Linked DNA regions of Xenopus tropicalis. The main gene of each other region encodes a partner of the protein of the gene in region 2 in a complex. Links are inferred from orthologs where the notes say so. Each region holds a gene or a part of one and is shown on either strand. Other genes may lie near its edges.

The links. The genes of interacting proteins can lie anywhere in the genome.
Region 1: the proteins of rab9a (region 2) and sgsm1 are in contact, whole or in part, in a crystal structure (PDB 4QXA), measured with the Mus musculus proteins. The link is inferred for Xenopus tropicalis from reciprocal best matches to the Homo sapiens genes RAB9A and SGSM1. Residues at the interface, in NP_062747.1 of Mus musculus: Phe37, Thr39, Ile40, Gly41, Val42, Glu43, Phe44, Leu45, Trp61, Arg68, Phe69, Leu72, Phe76; in NP_766306.2 of Mus musculus: Leu256, Leu257, Tyr258, Gly259, Lys260, Asn261, Asn262, Tyr277, Asn294, Met297, Asn298, Gln361.
Region 3: the proteins of rab9a (region 2) and nde1 are in contact, whole or in part, in a crystal structure (PDB 7E1T), measured with the Homo sapiens proteins. The link is inferred for Xenopus tropicalis from reciprocal best matches to the Homo sapiens genes RAB9A and NDE1. Residues at the interface, in NP_001182257.1 of Homo sapiens: Ile40, Val42, Phe44, Asn46, Gln59, Trp61, Arg68, Phe69, Ser71, Leu72, Pro75, Phe76; in NP_001137451.1 of Homo sapiens: Asp99, Gln102, Thr103, Ala105, Ile106, Gln109, Leu110, Tyr113.

Annotation. Positions count from the first base shown.
Region 1 is NC_030677.2:147,514,180-147,519,981, forward strand, and holds the start of sgsm1 (small G protein signaling modulator 1), read left to right. Parts: upstream 1-2,197; 5' UTR 2,198-2,432; coding exon 2,433-2,451; intron 2,452-2,580; coding exon 2,581-2,624; intron 2,625-5,802. UniProt on the Homo sapiens protein: Interacts with numerous Rab family members, functioning as Rab effector for some, and as GTPase activator for others. Promotes GTP hydrolysis by RAB34 and RAB36.
Region 2 is NC_030678.2:105,779,726-105,785,637, forward strand, and holds the start of rab9a (ras-related protein Rab-9A), read right to left. Parts: upstream 3,747-5,912; 5' UTR 3,117-3,746; intron 1-3,116. UniProt on the Homo sapiens protein: The small GTPases Rab are key regulators of intracellular membrane trafficking, from the formation of transport vesicles to their fusion with membranes.
Region 3 is NC_030685.2:34,084,441-34,090,358, reverse strand, and holds the start of nde1 (nuclear distribution protein nudE homolog 1), read left to right. Parts: upstream 1-2,313; 5' UTR 2,314-2,354; intron 2,355-5,076; 5' UTR 5,077-5,120; coding exon 5,121-5,206; intron 5,207-5,289; coding exon 5,290-5,443; intron 5,444-5,918. UniProt on the Homo sapiens protein: Required for centrosome duplication and formation and function of the mitotic spindle. Essential for the development of the cerebral cortex.

The sequences.
Region 1 (5,802 bases), on a different chromosome or scaffold from region 2:
GCATGTTTGGTGCCTTTCTTTATGGCAAATTTGTCTGAGTTTAAGTTGTTTACAGTGAGGAAGGTAGATAGATCTAGGTTAACTAAAATTCCATGTTTGTGTTTTTCTATGTTGTGTAGGTATACTGAGGCTAAGATTTGGCGCATAGCTTTTATCAAGTGGCGTCCTTTTGTACATCACAATTGGATGGGTGGGGCCACAAAGGCCCGGGCCTAGGGAGGCACAAATTTGGGGTTGGTATGCCACCCAAGCCGCGCTGAAATTTAGCTCACATACGAAGCAACGGGGACCTTGCGTGTGCGGCAGGAGGGATATTTTTTTTTCTTAAAATATCCATATTTTGTCATTTATCTGCTCCTTCTTGAAGATTGTTCTATCATAAATGTTTTGGCCCACCAATTTTTGCCTTGCACTGGTACCTTTAAGCAGCCCTGTTTGGCCCTCTGGGGATTCTCTTTTTGGGAGAACTCATTCTTTCATTTGGCTCTTTCACTTTTATGCAGGTGATATTCAACTATATTTGTTCCCCCCCAACTAAACACTGAGACCCAGATCTCAGCCTCCCAGCTACAGGGTCGGACTGGGCCGCCGGGACAAATCCCTTTGCCGGCGCTCCCCCTACTGACTGTTCCTCCCCTGACGCGTTCAATTTATACGCACTAGGGGAGGACGTCGGGTGGGGGCCCTGGGGAGGGTTAGGGGGGCCCCTGGGGGGGTAGGGGACACGGCTGGCTGAGGCACCTGCAGGGCCCCTGGGGCGGGAGCCCTGGTGGGCCCTGCACTCCCCAGTCCGACCCTGCCCAGCTATCTCCACCTCAAATTAATCTTAACACTGAGCTGATAGTCTTTCCATACAAACCTGGCCATATTCCACCTATATTCATAGAACTCATCAGCACACCCTGGTCTTTCTTCTAGTGTCCGTCCAGTGCTTGGTGTATTGTGAAGGTTTGGCATCCTCCGCTCTCTTGGAATACTCATGGCATGTTCACAAAATCAGTTAAATCAGTATGCATCCTGATGCTAATCTTTGACTTATCATTCTCTAATCATATTAATGCCACTAACAAGATCGAACCTTTCTCTCAAGATATAGAAATGTCTTCCACTAATCTAGAAAGCCCTTCACTCCTTACACCTTACTACATCTCTCTCTTGTGTCACTGTTTGTTTTCTTCAGTCCTCACAGAGCCAGTCTTTACACACCACCCATGTCCTTTGCCTCTGCTATCCTCTGCCTTTTATCTTGCTACTTCTTACCTCTGGAACCGCCTCTTTAAATTTGTCTATAACAGGGATGCCAATCTAGACCAAAGGGTGTGTCTTGCTCCACTTCCAACTATTATCCTGATCTGCCCAGGCCAAGTTCATGCTTTCTGCTCCAGCTGCTTTTGGGAATACTGGGTGCAACTTTATGTTTTTCAATGGTGGGTTAGGCAAAGGGTTTTGGTGCAAAATCCTGACATCAGGTGATTGGCCTGTAAATGCTGGTGACTAAATGAATGGTGTTTAAGTTCATGTGACTCCTGACAATTTCAGGCGAGATGACACAGCTTCTTTAAGGAGCGCAACCTCTTCTAATCTAAACTCCAGCCTGCCTGTCAGAGCACTAGCCCAATCTTTGCACTTACCAGACAGTACTGTAGCCATTTTGAATAGCAGAGCTTATTACTCTCCTATTTGCACCTCTATGTTTTCCACCCACTTAGGCTAAAGTCACACACAGTTAAGGTTGCCACATTTTATGATCTTACTGGCCAGGGTGGGGAGCGGGTCTACCAGGTGGCAGGTCTGTGACACTGGGTGGGGTTGTGATGTAAGTGAGGGCAGGCTGTGACCTTGGTGGAAATAGGGATCAAGACAGGTTAGAAAGGGTTGAAATACTGGCTGGGTGGCAACCCTACACAAAGTGTGCTGAGAAGCCCCCTGTCCTACCACCCTGTCACTTTACACAGGGTATTTTACAGCCCAAAACCCACACTTGGAAACCACTATGTCTGACATTAACCTCAGAGTGTAAATTCAGTGGGTAAGGGACCTCAGCCTATGTCTCTCAGCATATGCCACTTAACATTTTAAATTTATATTTACTCACTGCAGTGTTTGTACTTTTACTTATGGTAAAAAAATTATACCCTCTACATACAATTATACACATATACCATTTCATGTGTTACAGTCCAGGCACACCTTCTACACTGATTCAGAAACTCATTAGGTAGGAGCCCAAACAGCCACACATGACGCATCCGAAAACAATTCCTCCGTAGCAGCTCCACACCTCTGGCCAATTGCGCGGGAACCGTACCGCTGTGCGCGGCCCCGCGCGTCAGGGGGCGCGCTTTGACGTCAGGAAGTGTCGCTGTGCTCTCGCCTCGGCAGCTGCTGCTAGAATTGAGCCTGCAGAGGAGGGGAACAGAGAAACAGCAAACATGGCAACGGGAACGGCAGGTGAGAGAAGGGACAGGGAAATGACTACTGTATATGTATGCGAATAAATGGAAACAGTAACTGCACTATGATACAAATGGAGCACGACCTTTACTTGATAACTCAAAATAAATCTGTATTTTTTTGCAGAGGCAGATACCAGGCAGAAGCTGCTGAAGACAGTGAAGAAGGAGGTAGGCGATAGAAGCAAGCATCGTTCTCTACAACAGTGAATGGTTTCTATGTTTATGTCTCTTAGTGTGCAGCTCGGTAGAACACTGTGGACATGGATACACATATCTGTAGCTGTTTAGCCCCATTCTGTTGTCTATTAGTGTGGGACTGGGCGTGTTTTCATTGACACAGCTGGCAGCCCTTGGTCACTCGTGTGGCTCATAATACTGTTACTCCCTCCTGTCCACATACCCTTTGGTGGGTTGTATTGCCTAAGGATGAAGTCTAACCTTTAGAAACTCACCTGGCCCTCAGGGGCCCTTTACAAGTTGTACATTTGTATTCCCAGTAAATTGTTAAATACTATGCATTGCCCTTTACCCCCGCCCCTTGTCCCCTGGAATAATGAAACACTATTCACAGCAGCTGGGGGTACAGAGGATACCTGCCCTGCATTGAGAATTTACTGCTCAAGAACCTAGATGTGGTGTGATCAACCTGAAGGCAGTCCCTCCACATCCCCTTATCAGCCAAACAGCATTTTGGGGGTGAGGTTGCTGGGAGTTGTATTTGTGGACTTCTGGGCAAACATCCTTGACATGACTGGATTACTGAAAAATAATTTAACCCAAATCTACGCTGTCACAGCATTTTTGCAAAAAATAAGTAGTGCAGCGTTTGCCATTGTGGCTTGTAAGAAATAGCAAAGCAGCAGAAAAACATGTCTGATAGCAGATAGTAAGGTATGCGCACTGTTAAAGCCAAAACCATAACCATCACAGTCTCAACTGTTTTTGACAAATAATTTCCTAGAATTAGGTTTAATGGTATAGACACCCTTTTCATTTTGTCACTATGGCTGATTAATATATAATAGGCTTTCTTCTGTGGGGGCAAAATGTGACTATTATTGTATTTACAGTAATTACATGCCAGTCAAGTAACAATCATGTATTGTGTTTCACCTGTTCTCCCAAAGCAGGGATGTACAGTATAACCAGTGTTCCTCCTATTGTTTATGCATTGCTACTTCCAGCATCTGTGCCAAAGATGGGAGTTGAGATTAACATTAATTGAGTTGGGAGTGAATATGCTTGTCTTTTGATACACTTTTTTTCAGAATTCCATTGGCACATCAGTGATACTTGATACATGCTAATTATTCTTTATTGAAATGGTCTGAGGTATTAGTTGACTCACCATATGCCATAGATTCATCTGACAGGTTAGATATACCTACACACCCTGGGTAAGCCATAGGATACCTGTGATTTGTTCCGGAAGCAGCTTTTCTTGCTGGTCCTTTCTGGTATGTCCTACTCATTGGCTTCTTGTAGCCAAGTTTTTCACAGAGATTTACAGGTGTTTAGATGTCATAATTTGCTAAATGTTATACAATTATATATATATGGGATTAAAACAATACAATACATGTATTTATATCTGTAATTCTTGATGTATTTATACTATGGGATAATACACCCTTTGTAGTTAGTGGGGGGGGGGTAGAAAAACAGTAACTTACCTGTTTATTTTGTAAGTGTATTACCCCCTTTGTATATGTTTTTACTATACAGGTGTGGGGATCTCTTGGGGAAACTCCTATATCCAGAAAGCTCCAAATTACAGGAAGGCCATCTCCTATAAGGTCCATTTGTAAGATGACCTGTCACCCCAAGAAATAATTCCAAATCCTTTTCTGTCATAAATTTACATTTTGTTCTCTTCAGTCTTAGAATCCACAATAGCAGCAAACAGGCATCATTTTGTGACAGTGTTATGAAAGCAAAACCTTTATGGCTGAATAAAAGAGTTAGGGTCGAGGTTGGTAATAAAAAACGTGCTTTTAAAGCATTCAAGTTAGCTGGGACAGCGGAAACTTTCATCAGGTACAAGGAAGCAAATAAAGCATGCAAAAAAGCTATCAGGCAAGCTAAAATAGAGATGGAAAGGGATATTGCAGCTAGGAGTAAAAAGAATCCAAAATTATTTTTTAATTATGTGAATAGTAAAAAAATGAAGCAAGAAGGGGTGGGAACTTTATTATCACGGGGGGGTACGTTGGTTGATGAGAACGGGGAAAAAGCAGAAATTTTGAACTCTTATTTTTCATCTGTCTATACATCTGAGGAGCCAGATAATGAAGGCTTCCCTTTTAATATACCCAGTGCTAGTAATTTAGCTACTGACGCGTGGGTCACTCAGGAGGAAATTCAAAAGAGACTTGAACATGTAAAGGTAAACAAAGGTCCAGGACCGGATGGGATTCATCCCAGGGTATTAAATGAGCTGAGCGCTGTGATTGGCAAGCCTCTTCACATAATTTTTCAGGATTCGTTGAGGTTTGGCATGGTGCCGAGAGACTGGCGGATTGCTAATGTGGTGCCGTTATTTAAAAAGGGATCTCGTTCTCAGCCTGAAAACTATAGGCCTGTTAGTCTGACATCAGTAGTAGGAAAGCTTCTGGAAGGGGTAATAAGGGATAGGATGGTTGAATACATTGCAGTTCACAATACTATTAGTTTGTGCCAGCATGGTTTTATGCGTAGCAGATCTTGCCAGACTAATTTAGTTGCCTTTTATGAGGAGGTGAGCAGGAACCTTGATGCTGGAATGGCAGTTGATGTCATCTACTTAGATTTTGCTAAAGCGTTTGATACAGTACCTCACAGAAGGTTAATGATCAAATTGAGGAATATTGGCCTAGAACATAATATTTGTAATTGGATAGAAAACTGGCTGAAGGATAGAGTACAAAGAGTGGTGGTAAATGGAACATTTTCTAATTGGGCCAGTGTGGTTAGTGGGGTACCGCAGGGGTCAGTCCTTGGTCCTTTGCTTTTTAACTTGTTTATTAATGACCTGGAGGTGGGCATAGACAGTACTGTTTCTATTTTTGCTGATGACACTAAATTGTGCAAAACTATAAGTTCCATGCAGGATGCTGCCGCTTTGCAGAGCGATTTGACAAAATTGGAAAACTGGGCAGCAAACTGGAAAATGAGGTTCAATGTTGACAAGTGCAAAGTTATGCACTTTGGTAGAAATAATATAAACGCAAACTATCTACTGAATGGTAGTGTGTTGGGGGCATCCTTAATGGAGAAGGATCTAGGGGTTTTTGTAGATCACAAGTTGTCCAATTCCAGGCAGTGTCATTCTGTGGCTACTACAGCAAATAAAGTGCTGTCTTGTATA
Region 2 (5,912 bases):
TCTATAACCTTATTGTGAGCAAAAGGGGCCTGGATCAAATGTAGGACCTCAATGGGAAATAGGGGAAAGTCCAAAAAACACAACACTGCAGCACAGTATAACAGCTCAGCAGAAACAGGCTGCATATAATTGCACCAGTAGATAGTTGCACAAGACAGTATACTACTTACAGTTCAAAGACATTGGCCAGGTTAAGTAAACAGAGGCGCACACAATTAAGCTCAATGTATGTTTTCCTGACCTCATGCTCTTCCTGGGAAGAAATAGTAGCTTGGTGAAGAAAAAAAATGCACCATGTGTCTTAAAACCTACCTCAAGCTTGATCAAGGCAACAGAAAAATTTCACAGAAACTGGCGGTGTACTGCAGAAGTTAACAGTCCTACTACTACCTGTGAAAGGTTTTCTCTTACAGAGTTCTAAGACCCAGACAGACTGCTGCTAGAGGGACTTGCCAAACTATCCAGTCCCACACTGTTCATTACCCTGCCGCAAACGCCACCTCCACTTACTGGCCCACAATGTCACCGTTTAGGTTTATACACTTGGAAAGATAGCAACCCAACATGAGGGACTATCCTTACTTAAATGGATTACACTTACACCTACAATAAATAGCCTTCATTAGACAGTAATAAAAGATGCTTAAAAATAAAAAAAAAAAAGTATTTTTATTTAAAACTATATACCGTATATACTCGAGTATAAGCCGAGTTTTTCAGCCCTAAAAATGTGCTTAAAAAGTAACAATCGGCTTATACTCGGGTATATACGGTAGTTGCACCCAAACTACATGGAATACGGTAGTTGCGCGGCCTTCAGCAGCATGTACAAGCGGCGCGCCCGCGCGACATTATGCTCTTTGCGCCGCTGCACTTTGGGACACACTGGAGCACAGGAGGAGCGCCCCTGAGCCGTAGGCAGACTGTGCCTGCGGCGTGCACGCTACATTATGTGCAGCGCGCAGCACATAGGGACACATTGAGGAGCCCCCCCGAGCCCCCCCCTCCCTGGACCCCTGTGGACGCCAGGACAACGGCAGCAGAACAGCCTAGCAGAGCACAGAGCCCCACTATATAGTTAGTGTTGAGTGCCAACATGACAGTAAGTGACACAAAGAGCAGCACCGTGGCACCTCCCTCTAACCAGAGCCTTACTTAGACTGGTAACTGATACCTACTGAGCAAGTGATCAGGTTAAATATGCCGCTACCTGCGGATTTATGGGCATAGAATGCTACCACTGGAGCAATTTTTTTCATTACTCCACACTGTTGAAATGCTTAGTATAAGTTGGTTACGATATCCTTGTGCTAGCCGTGGGCCCTAGCCTTGCTTAATACACTCATATTAATATCAAGAGGCCCCTCTGAAGCTCTTTACATAATCACTGCTCACCTAATTAAATCAAAAGTACCCACATGCAGTTCTTCTCAGCTTATGTACAGTCATGAATGAAAAAATAAAAAAGAGAGATGTACTGGTCTCTATATTATGAGAGGTTTACATAACTTGCTAAGCTCTATGGCTAGTGGCACAGTAGTTGTTTTATCAAATTTATATAGAATAATTTTGTATTCATTGAAGTGACATCCAGAACAGCAATTTACTGTATTTAAAGAATACAGAAATGCCATATTTAGTTATTGGATTAAAGATTTTGTTTACCGGTATATGGATGCTTTTCATGCTGCACCATTGAGGGGCTTATACTCGAGTCAATAAGTTTTTCCAGTTTTCTTAGGTAAAATTAGGTACCTCGGCTTATATTCGGATCGGCTTATACTCGAGTATATACGGTACTGCAGTGTGCATCTGACAGGTGCATGTGATCTGCCTGGTAAAATTACTCAATCTGCAAATCCTTCCCCTAGTGCCTATTCCAAAAACAAAACTCCAAGAACGGCTACCTTATTATACAGCAAATCACCAATTAAGAAATGAAATTAAACACCAGTAATTTCAGACACCTATTGGTTAAATTTAAGTTCTGCAGAAACATAGTGTAACAAGTGCTACACGTTACAGTGGGGACTGTCTGTACCAGAGTTAAACAAAAGCATCTCTGTCCTACTAAATGAGAGAACATTGAGAATAAAATGAATTAGCACAATTTACTTACTTTACCGGCACATTTGTGATTATCCAGTACATAAAGTTCCAGATAATTCCAGAGACATTATATTTTAGTAATGACAATTCTATCCACACCTACAAATAAATGAGTACAAAAATCCCCACAGCCATAAAGCTTATAACTGCTTTGGGCTCCAAACCAGTATGAACAATGCAACTTTGGGGAAAGTGAATTTTCAACATTCAATGAACCACATTGGTATGGGTATAAAATCATCTTAACAACATTACAAATGAAACCCAAGTCGTTATTGATCCATTTGACCAGTTCAGAGATCATTAGGCACCAAAATATATTTGAAAAATACACCTATTACAGTTTAAGATTACTACAATAAATTTATTGTTGAAAATCTCTCTTGATAATTGCTTGGTAGGACACTCTAGTGCTGACCCTGCAAAATATATCTAGAAATAAACAACATTATCTTTTTTAGTATGAGACTCCTCCCAAAGAGTTAAAATTCAAAATGTCTTCCATAAACTTGCTGAGATTACATACATTTTTACCATGATGTTTTAAAATATATACATATATCAATATACTAGAATCTAGCCCATCTAGTGCTCTTAACCAAAGACGTGTATTTTATTTCTAATATTTTGTATATACTATAAATTAGATGCTCCCTATTATCTTAGCTTACTATCATGAAAAATAGAAACAAATGACACTGAATAATCCTATACTGAAACACTGCCACAGTAAATAAGCACACAAAATATCCAAAAATAGTGTCTCAAGGTTAAGAAAAAAAATGTTATATATTTACTGATGATATATATATATATGACAATTTGATATGATTATTTGATGGGTCACTAATTGGTATGTAAATTTGATGCTAGTTAAACTTTTCATTTAGAACATATTTTATATATAACAGGTTAAAGGAAAACTAACAAAGAGAAGGCATATTTGGGTATAAAAAAATTTAGATGAGTTTTCAGGCATGTAGTCCTAGAAGACGATCACACCTTACCTGATTTCTGGGCATTTTACATTCAGCAGTCTCAAAGTACAACAGATCATTTTCAGATTTCTAAAACAAATATAAATGTTAAATCATTAGCTGATAGAGATTCCTTAATAAGACCAATCGATTGATTGCCACCCTAGATCTGAGGCCTGTGCTGTCACATCCTGCACTTCTGTCCTAGTGACAAAATATTAACCCCTAGGAAACCAGCCAACATTAGCTTTATCTTTTCAACTGCTGGTCCAGCAATCACTTTTCCATCATATCCAGCAAATCGCTTAGTCTTTCCACATTATAAATGATAACAAAATATACAGCCAGGTTACAGAGCCCCCTATGAAAGTGAAGCAAGCCGGTTGCGTGCATGTGATAGGCAGGACATCTCATATTCTAAATCCCACTGGGGAATGGATGTAAATGTGATGAACAATCTGCAAATGATAACCAAATAAAGCTCATACCTGTCTAGGAAAAGAAACTAAAAGAAATATTTGCTATGGACTTGCTATGGCTTTGTGAGCACAGAAATATTTGTAAGCATTAACGCCTGTATAATGGAGAGCTTGGTTTACAATTCCATATCAATGTATAAATCAGACAAGCATATTTAGCAAACACGACTCCTAAATACAGATCCAAACTGCACCGAAGTACTGAACGATGTCCAGTGTATTTTAGCGTAACACCGAGCTAAACAAACATGTAACACGAATATTTCCTTCATGAGAAAAGTTATAGCCAGCGCATCAAAACTGATGTCATTTCATCCCCGCCGGCATCACCCGCGCTGTTTACCTGGGACCCTTCTCTCTAGCGAGCTCCCCTACTGGATCGCCTGAGAAAACATGGCGAAAACAACTCCGCCTTCGCGTCACTTGACTAGAGCGTATACGGAAATAGGAGCGCCCTTGTGCCCAGAGGCGTGATCTGTAGGACAGCCAATAGGAGACATTGCGGCAGCTTTCCTACTTGTTCTGTTTGTGAGAAACGTTAACCTATTGGCCAGAGACGTCAAACGATGGGCACATGACCGATACTTATGGTTAAAGCTGTTTCTAAATCGCTTGCCACCCTAAAATCATGTGACAAGCCTTCTAATTAGAAAAACAATCCTATTAGGGCAGTTGCGCACACATAAATAGGGGCACTAGCGCAAAGGATTGTGTGGCATATTTACTAACAAGTGCAATTTATACGATCTAGTCAGCTCTTTGCTTACATTATATAACTCCTAAAGCCCCTTTTCATACGGGGTTGTATTAGGGTTGCCACCTTTTATGGGAAAAAATACCAGTTTATATTTTTTTCTTTTTTCCTCTATTAAAGGATATGTATTGCATTTACAGCTTTTTACCTAAAAAGAAGCAGGTTTGCAATATATTGAATTTAGGAAAACAGAACCATTTTTATGTATGTATGTATAACTTTATTTATAAAGCGCCACAAGGGTACGCAGCGCTGTACAGTCTTACAGAATACAAAATTACACACAGGGAGGACAAGTGATATAATAAATAAATACATATATGTATATATATATATATATAAGTGCCATGTGGTATGAGACACAGTAGGAAGGAGGTCCCTGCCCCGTAGAGCTTACAATCTAAGTGGTTGGGTAACATACAGGCACAAACTGGAAGGTAAGAGTGCACCAGGTGTGGGCATTTGCCCTTAAGCGCAGGACTGGGCAAAATAATGTTTTAGTGCTCCAGAAGGTAACAGCTGAGTTTTTTCTTAAAGAGAGTGGGTAAGTTTTCCCTACGGAGGGATTCAGGGATAGAGTTCCAGAGGTAAGGAGCAGCGAGATAGAAAGGTTTAAGACGAGAGAGCGCAGTGGGTGTGGATGGTGTAAAGAGACGGAGGCTCTGAGAGGAGCGGAGGAGACGACCAGGAACATGTAGGGAGACCAGTGAAGAAATGTAGTGAGGAGCAGAGGAGTGAAGGGCTTTGAATGTCAGCAGAAGGATTTTGTAAGCTATCCTTTGCTTGACAGGCAGCCATGCTAGTGAGCTTAATTGAGGCTGGGCAGGATCCCTCTTAGGAGAGAGCAGGAGGATCCTGGCAGCAGAGTTTAAGATTGATTGCAGGGGAGAGAGGTGGGAGTCTGGGAGGCCGGTTAGTAGGAGATTGCAGTAATCTAAGCGGGAAAGGATAAGGGCATAGATTAGTGTTTTAGCTGTTGCTTGTGAAAGAAAGGGGCGTATCTTGGCAATATTGCGGAGGAAAAAGCGGCAGGTTTTGGCAGTGTTATTAATATGGTTAGAGAAGGAAAGAGACTGGTCAAAGATAACCCCAAGGCAGCGTTCAGAATTTACAGGGTTGATGGTCATGCCATCAATAGTAATGGTGAAAGGAGGAGGAGGGCCAGGTTTTTATGAAATAAGCAATCTGCTGCCACTCAATTCTTGTCGCCTCTCCCTCCCAAAGCTGCCAGCGGAAATACTATGAGGGCTGCCAGCTGGAATAGTGTTAGCGCTGCTCAGTATCCCAAATGACCAGGAAGCAGCATGGGGGTTGTTTGTTACCAACATTAGCCTAAATGATAAACTGATCTTCTTTTAATCTTCAACTACAAGAACTACATTTATATTTATTTTTGGAAGTTGATATAGTGTTTATGCACATTTTCTACATAAACCTAGCTGAATTAGCTCATGCCAAAAAGGTGGGTGTATATTTTCACTGGTAACTCAACTTTAGGCAACTGAATTTCATATATAAATATGTTGATTCATTAATATTTGTAATGTCAATGCAACCCCCTGAAAAACAAATCTGGATCCCCATTGCTTGCAC
Region 3 (5,918 bases), on a different chromosome or scaffold from region 2:
TTTAAAAACTCTTTAGTACCCTTCCGCCCTCTTTACAGGCTATAGATCAAAAAACATTTCAACTTATTACTTGGCTTATGCTAGCAGAGTTAGCATAGTTGGCAGAAATCCAATAAGGGCTTTAGATAATTTGGACAAAGTGGGGCCCCCCACACAGAAGTACTGTATGTGACCCAGTACATACTAGGCCATGCTAGGTCATTTCAATTGTGTTAACGGCATAGCATGTAGGGGGACTTTAATAAAGAGATTTACTATTTACATTGTAGCAATGAACAGAGGTCGCCATCTTGCATCATCTGTAAAATGAAATACGCTCGGAGCCCCTTAGTCTTGTTCTAATGGGAAAAGCAAAGTAACCAGTAATATATTCCAAAAGTCTAAAGAAACCCTGGATATCTATGCACACCTTAATTAACCCAGAATGTGTGAATGTCTTCTGTAAAAACATGTCATAAAGTACATTTCAAAGTACAATAAAATCACAAAATAAAGCAATAAAAACAGTGACAATGGTTGTGAAAAATTCACACTTCCATGTGTCTCCCTGTGCAATTAAAGGACAAGGAAACTCCTAAAAGTAAAACTTTAGCAAGCAATTGGCCACCATTATTCCTTGAGAACCCAATATTTATTGTGCAAAACCCTTTACTTTTTATGCAGCACTCCTTACTTAGATTGGCAGTGACCATATTGCCTCTGCCAGCTTTATCCTCCTGGCCAGGGTGTTGATCCATGCATAACTTTTATATGCTGGAATGTTTACATCATGTTTGGGTCATGATGGTATTCAAATTTCAATATTTGTATGTATGTGCATGCTTTTAGTACTACCACAATTCAAGAAATTAGCTGAAAATGTTTTTATATAGAAAGCTTTCTATAGAGGGGGGAAAGGGTATTGAAGTAAATATATATAAAAATATTTCCAACATTTCATACGGTAGCTTCAAATAATCTCTTCAATTTAAAAATCCAGACTTGTCTTGAAAAATCCACTGGTGGAGGAAATAGCTGGCCACCTCAGTCATACAAAAATGTGGTTGCGTTCCGAAAGTAAAAACATTTTACTGTCCGAACAATCGTGAACGGCGCAAAAACCTTTCTGGCTTTGATACTTTAATGTATGATTTTTTGCAATGACTATGACCATTTGGGAATTTATTCAAGCTTTGAAAAGTCGTGGAATTTTAACGAAAATATTGTGGACATAACGAAAAGTTTTATAAATTAGAAAAAATACGATTTTTTTCTGAAAAAAAAAAATCTGATTTCATGTATGGACCCCTTAACCATGGGCTATAATTAAGAGTCAGATGCACTTGAAAGATACTTTCAACGTATGTTACATACAGTGGCAGCTGCTAAGGTTTGCTGGGACCTATGAATATTTGAAGTTGAAGTTCAAGTTGTACTGAGATTTGTAGAGTTAAAGGAACAGTAACACCAAAAAATGAAAGTGTAAAAAACTAACTAAAATATAATGTGCTGCTGCCCTGCACTGGTAAAAGTTGTGTGTTTACTTCAGAAAGTCTACTATAATTTATATAAATAAGCTGCTGTGTAGCCATGGGGGCAGCCATTCAAAGGAGAAAAGGCACAGGCACATAGCAGATAACAGATAAAACACTATTGTATTCTACAGAACTTATCTGCTATGTAACCTGTGCCTTTTCTCCTTTTTTCCAGCTTGAATGGCTGCCCCCATGGCTACACAGCAGCTTATTATATAAATTATAGTAGTGTTACTGTAGCAAACACACCAGTTTACCAGTACAGGGCAAAAGTGCATTATATTTTGATTACTTTAAAGCTCTTTTATTTTTTGGTGTTACTGTTCCTTTAATAGCAATAGACCACCAGCTTTTCAAAAGCTCTGATTTGCATTGTAATAGGGTATGGAGTATTTTTCTGCTACCCAGTGCTTTATTTTGGAATGTATCACGCCAAATCTCCAATATTCTGTTGTAGTATATGGCAGGGGGTGGTGTCACCTATGTAGAACATCTTTTGTTAATATCAACTCTTTTTGCAAAGCGATTATAAGGCCTTCGTGAGCATTTTATTTGCAAATTCCATAATATAGCAGGGCCATCATTCTTAACTTTCATTTGCTTTGACTCACGCTTTGAACACAACCAATCCGCAGTTTGGGGGCAGCCTGCAACTAGCTCAATTGCTCCGCCCATTCCCTCACTCGGCATCTGCAGCGCAACGGGAGGCGGGGCATAATGTAGAAGAAGAGTGGATGCTTTCGGGTGCGTCTTTTAAAAAACCGGAAGTACGTCGGAAAGAGAAGCCGGTGCGGGTCTGAGAAGGATGTGATAGGACTGGAGCGAAAAATCGGGGTTCGGGTGAGTTGGCATCGGCCAGCGAGTTTCGCGGTCACCTGTACTGGTGTTTATACTATAATTTCTGTGTGACACACGGCAGCTTGTTTCCCATCAGGCCTTGCTATCACTACAGACTATTGCCTTTGCGTTATGTATTGTTGTCTACCTGGCAACCCTGAAGTTTGATATGTGTAATGGGCTTAATGGCAAATTCTTAGTTTCATGTATAAGTGAGGTTAGAGTTTGCAGCTCATACATTCCCAGTATGTTTGATGTCAGTGTAGCATTGTAATCTGTGTAAGTTGGTCAGTATCCTGCCCCTTCACCTCCCCCCACTCCCCCAGCTCTTTATGTCCCTGACTTGTTGTGAAGTGCTGTGCATGACAGTGCTTAACATGTAGAAGAAATAAATGTTTTTTTTATCAGAGCCACAGGCCAGAATAAAATCAGTTAGTGCTTCCCTTGTGGTGGGACACACAGTGCCCTGCATAATAAATATAACAAACGTTTGTTCATTTGTAACATCACAAGACCAGTTTAGCCCATGAGTTGCGCTCGCTGCTAGCTGTATTGCTTCAGTTTTGCGCTTTTTACAGGAATTTATGAGATGGAACATTTAGTTTACCTAGGAATATTGTATTTTTCAGGATATCCCAAGTGTAATTCCACTTCCATAACAAGATAAAGCACTTAACAGTCAAAGACAATTAAAACATTAACTGTTATTATAATACAGGTGCTGGGTGTATAATACACCCAGCACCTGATCTGGGAATCAGCACTTATATTGTAGTGTCACCCACTGTGACCTACAGCCCTTATACTGCATTTTCTTATTTGTGTCTGTAAGTTACCCTCCCATATAGATTGTAAGCTCTACAGGGCAGGGACCTCCATCCTCTTGTGTCTTTGACTCTTATTGCAACTGTATTTATCTTGTATCTATCTGTATTGTTGTACTTTGTATTTGTCTATTATTATCTTAATAATCCCCTGTTTGTATTAATGTATTCTACTGTACAGGGCTGCGTGCATAAGTAGCGCTTTATAAATAAAGATATACATACATACATAAAAACAAACTAAACATTTTATTATATACATGTAAATACAGGGAAAACCCTGTGTCTCTACAATTAATATATATAGTTTTATGGACTTTCCTGGATAGATCAGAAACTTCATTAGTGGGTTTTCAAAGCCCCATTCTAAAAATCAGTATAATTTAAAGTGGCCATACATAAGCCCTAAAAATATCCATTGGTTAGGTTTGAAATCCCGTTAGGCAAGGACAACATTGCCATATTGATGTGGTCCTTAGCCAAGGTAGGTTTGCTGTCTGACTAGCACCACTTAGAGAGCTCAACATGTTTGGACAGTTTGACTATTTCTGACTAATAATAGAATTAAAATATGACTATCTACTCAACACAAACTATGAAACTGCAAAGGTTTGCTAAAGTATTTATGACTTTTTTGAGTCTACTCTAATCTTTAATTTTTCACATCTTATCTCAGACATGTCCTTTGATATAAATATAACCTATCCTAAAAATTAATGGCAGCAGTCTTCTGAACAGTTTAAAGCTTATGATTACCTAAGTGTGGTTTATGGAGACCCCAATATAAAAATAGTGCTTATGCATTTCTTGGTTGCTGCTTCAGCTCCTGTAAATCCTGCTTTTCCCATACACACAGTGCAGACAAACTGACCATATAAAAATGAATTTTTAAAATATACATTTTGACAAATCTAAAATGGGAAAATGTCTGTTCCAAAATTTAGATTTATATTCTGATAGTTTTGAGAACAATTAAAAAAAAAAAAATTCCACTTAACTATAGAGCATTGTATCCCATTTATGTGTATAAATACAAAGATAAAACATGCTAAAGTCCAAAGGATAAAACTATGGGAGCCTGTAAATGAATTGAAAATGCTACACACTATTTTACTAGCCAAAACAATGCCTCAAAACAATATAAAAAAAAAAAATTGCAGAGTGGGATCAGTGGTCAAAATCAAGCTTCCACTTTCTTGCTTGTTTGTGCCTGTAAAACGTTAATTGCACAGCAAGACAACAGTGATGCCAGAATAAAACAAGTCACAACACCGTGTGATTGGCATTCATGCCAGTGATACGCACATGACCATGTACACAACTTTCCTATCGTTAATGCAGTACAATAATATTGTTGGAAATCTTTTTTCCTATTTTCTTTCTAATGGCACATGTTTAAGCTGGCTGAGAAGAGTACTATGTGCTAGCTCAGCCTATTGCAAACTCTAATGTGCTACACAAAGAGCAGTATTATACTGTAAGGCTTATGGGGACACTGGGCTTTTGTATCAGTTACTATTTTTTCAGAGGAACATTGCTGAGACAAAGTGTTTTTCTTGAAGTAATAACAGCCTGCATGTTCTCTGACCATAGTAATTCTAATATATTTCTCACAATACTAAGCTTTGTCTTTCCTTGGGCAAAATTAAAGAAAACTACCCATGCAGACTATAAAAAGACTAGTAAGTGCTTGCCTCCTACGTTTGGACCCACAGCTGCTTCCATCGATATCTGGTCACATCACAGTCAAACGGTAAGTTTAGCCTGTGACTTGCACAGGTGGCCAAAGCTTTAAAAGATCTACGACAATATTGTCCATTGATAATGTTTGTTATGTTCTGAAGTGGTTACTGCTAACTGGTACAGATAATAGTATGATTGTTTACTTTGTGTGTTTGCAGATACGTGAACATATTTACTGCAGCCTTCTCATGGAAATATTACCATGGATGACTTAGAAAACAACATCTTTAATTCTGTGGAGGAAGAGATCATTTACTGGAAAAGTGTGGCAATGAAATATAAGACATGGTATGCCATTTTACGAGTAGAGTCCTTCAGCATTAGCACATACTGGGAATACATTATAATGTGCTTTATGCTTCTTCCTATAGCTCTGAGGAAGCCCAACAGGAGCTGCAGGAGTTTCAGGAGGCCAGTAGAGAATATGAAGCAGAGCTAGAGGCTCAGCTCCAGCAGATTGAGGGTAGAAACAGAGACCTCTTCTCTGAAAACAACCGTTTGCGAATGGAACTTGATGGCATTAAGGTAATTAACATATCTGTGGTTTTAAAATCTTTTAATGGCAGCCTAGTTTAGAGTATCTTCGGAATATATTCTGTATAACCTTACAGGACAAGGAAAGCTGTTACGGTTTGCCAAATAGTTATGGAATCTCAGTGGCCCTCATTGTTTGCCTCTTACTCTAAGCTGGCACCTTTCTTTCAGGGTTGCCTGAAAAGCTGGAGGAAGATGGCAGTGGTCAGCCCTGCTAAAAACTGCCCTGAGCTGGTGCACTTTTTTTTTTTTTTTTTTTTTTTTTTTAAGAGGAGTGCAGGCCCAGGTTAAAGGAGAAGGAAAGGTACTAAATAACTAAGCTTTATCAGGAAGGTCTATGTAAATACAGCCATAAGCACTTAGACTGAGTCACTCTATCAAAAGAAACACAAGATTTCTTGTCTCCTTTTTTTTTGTAAACAGAATAATCCTTCATTTTTGGGACCAGAGTCTGTGCAGCTATCTC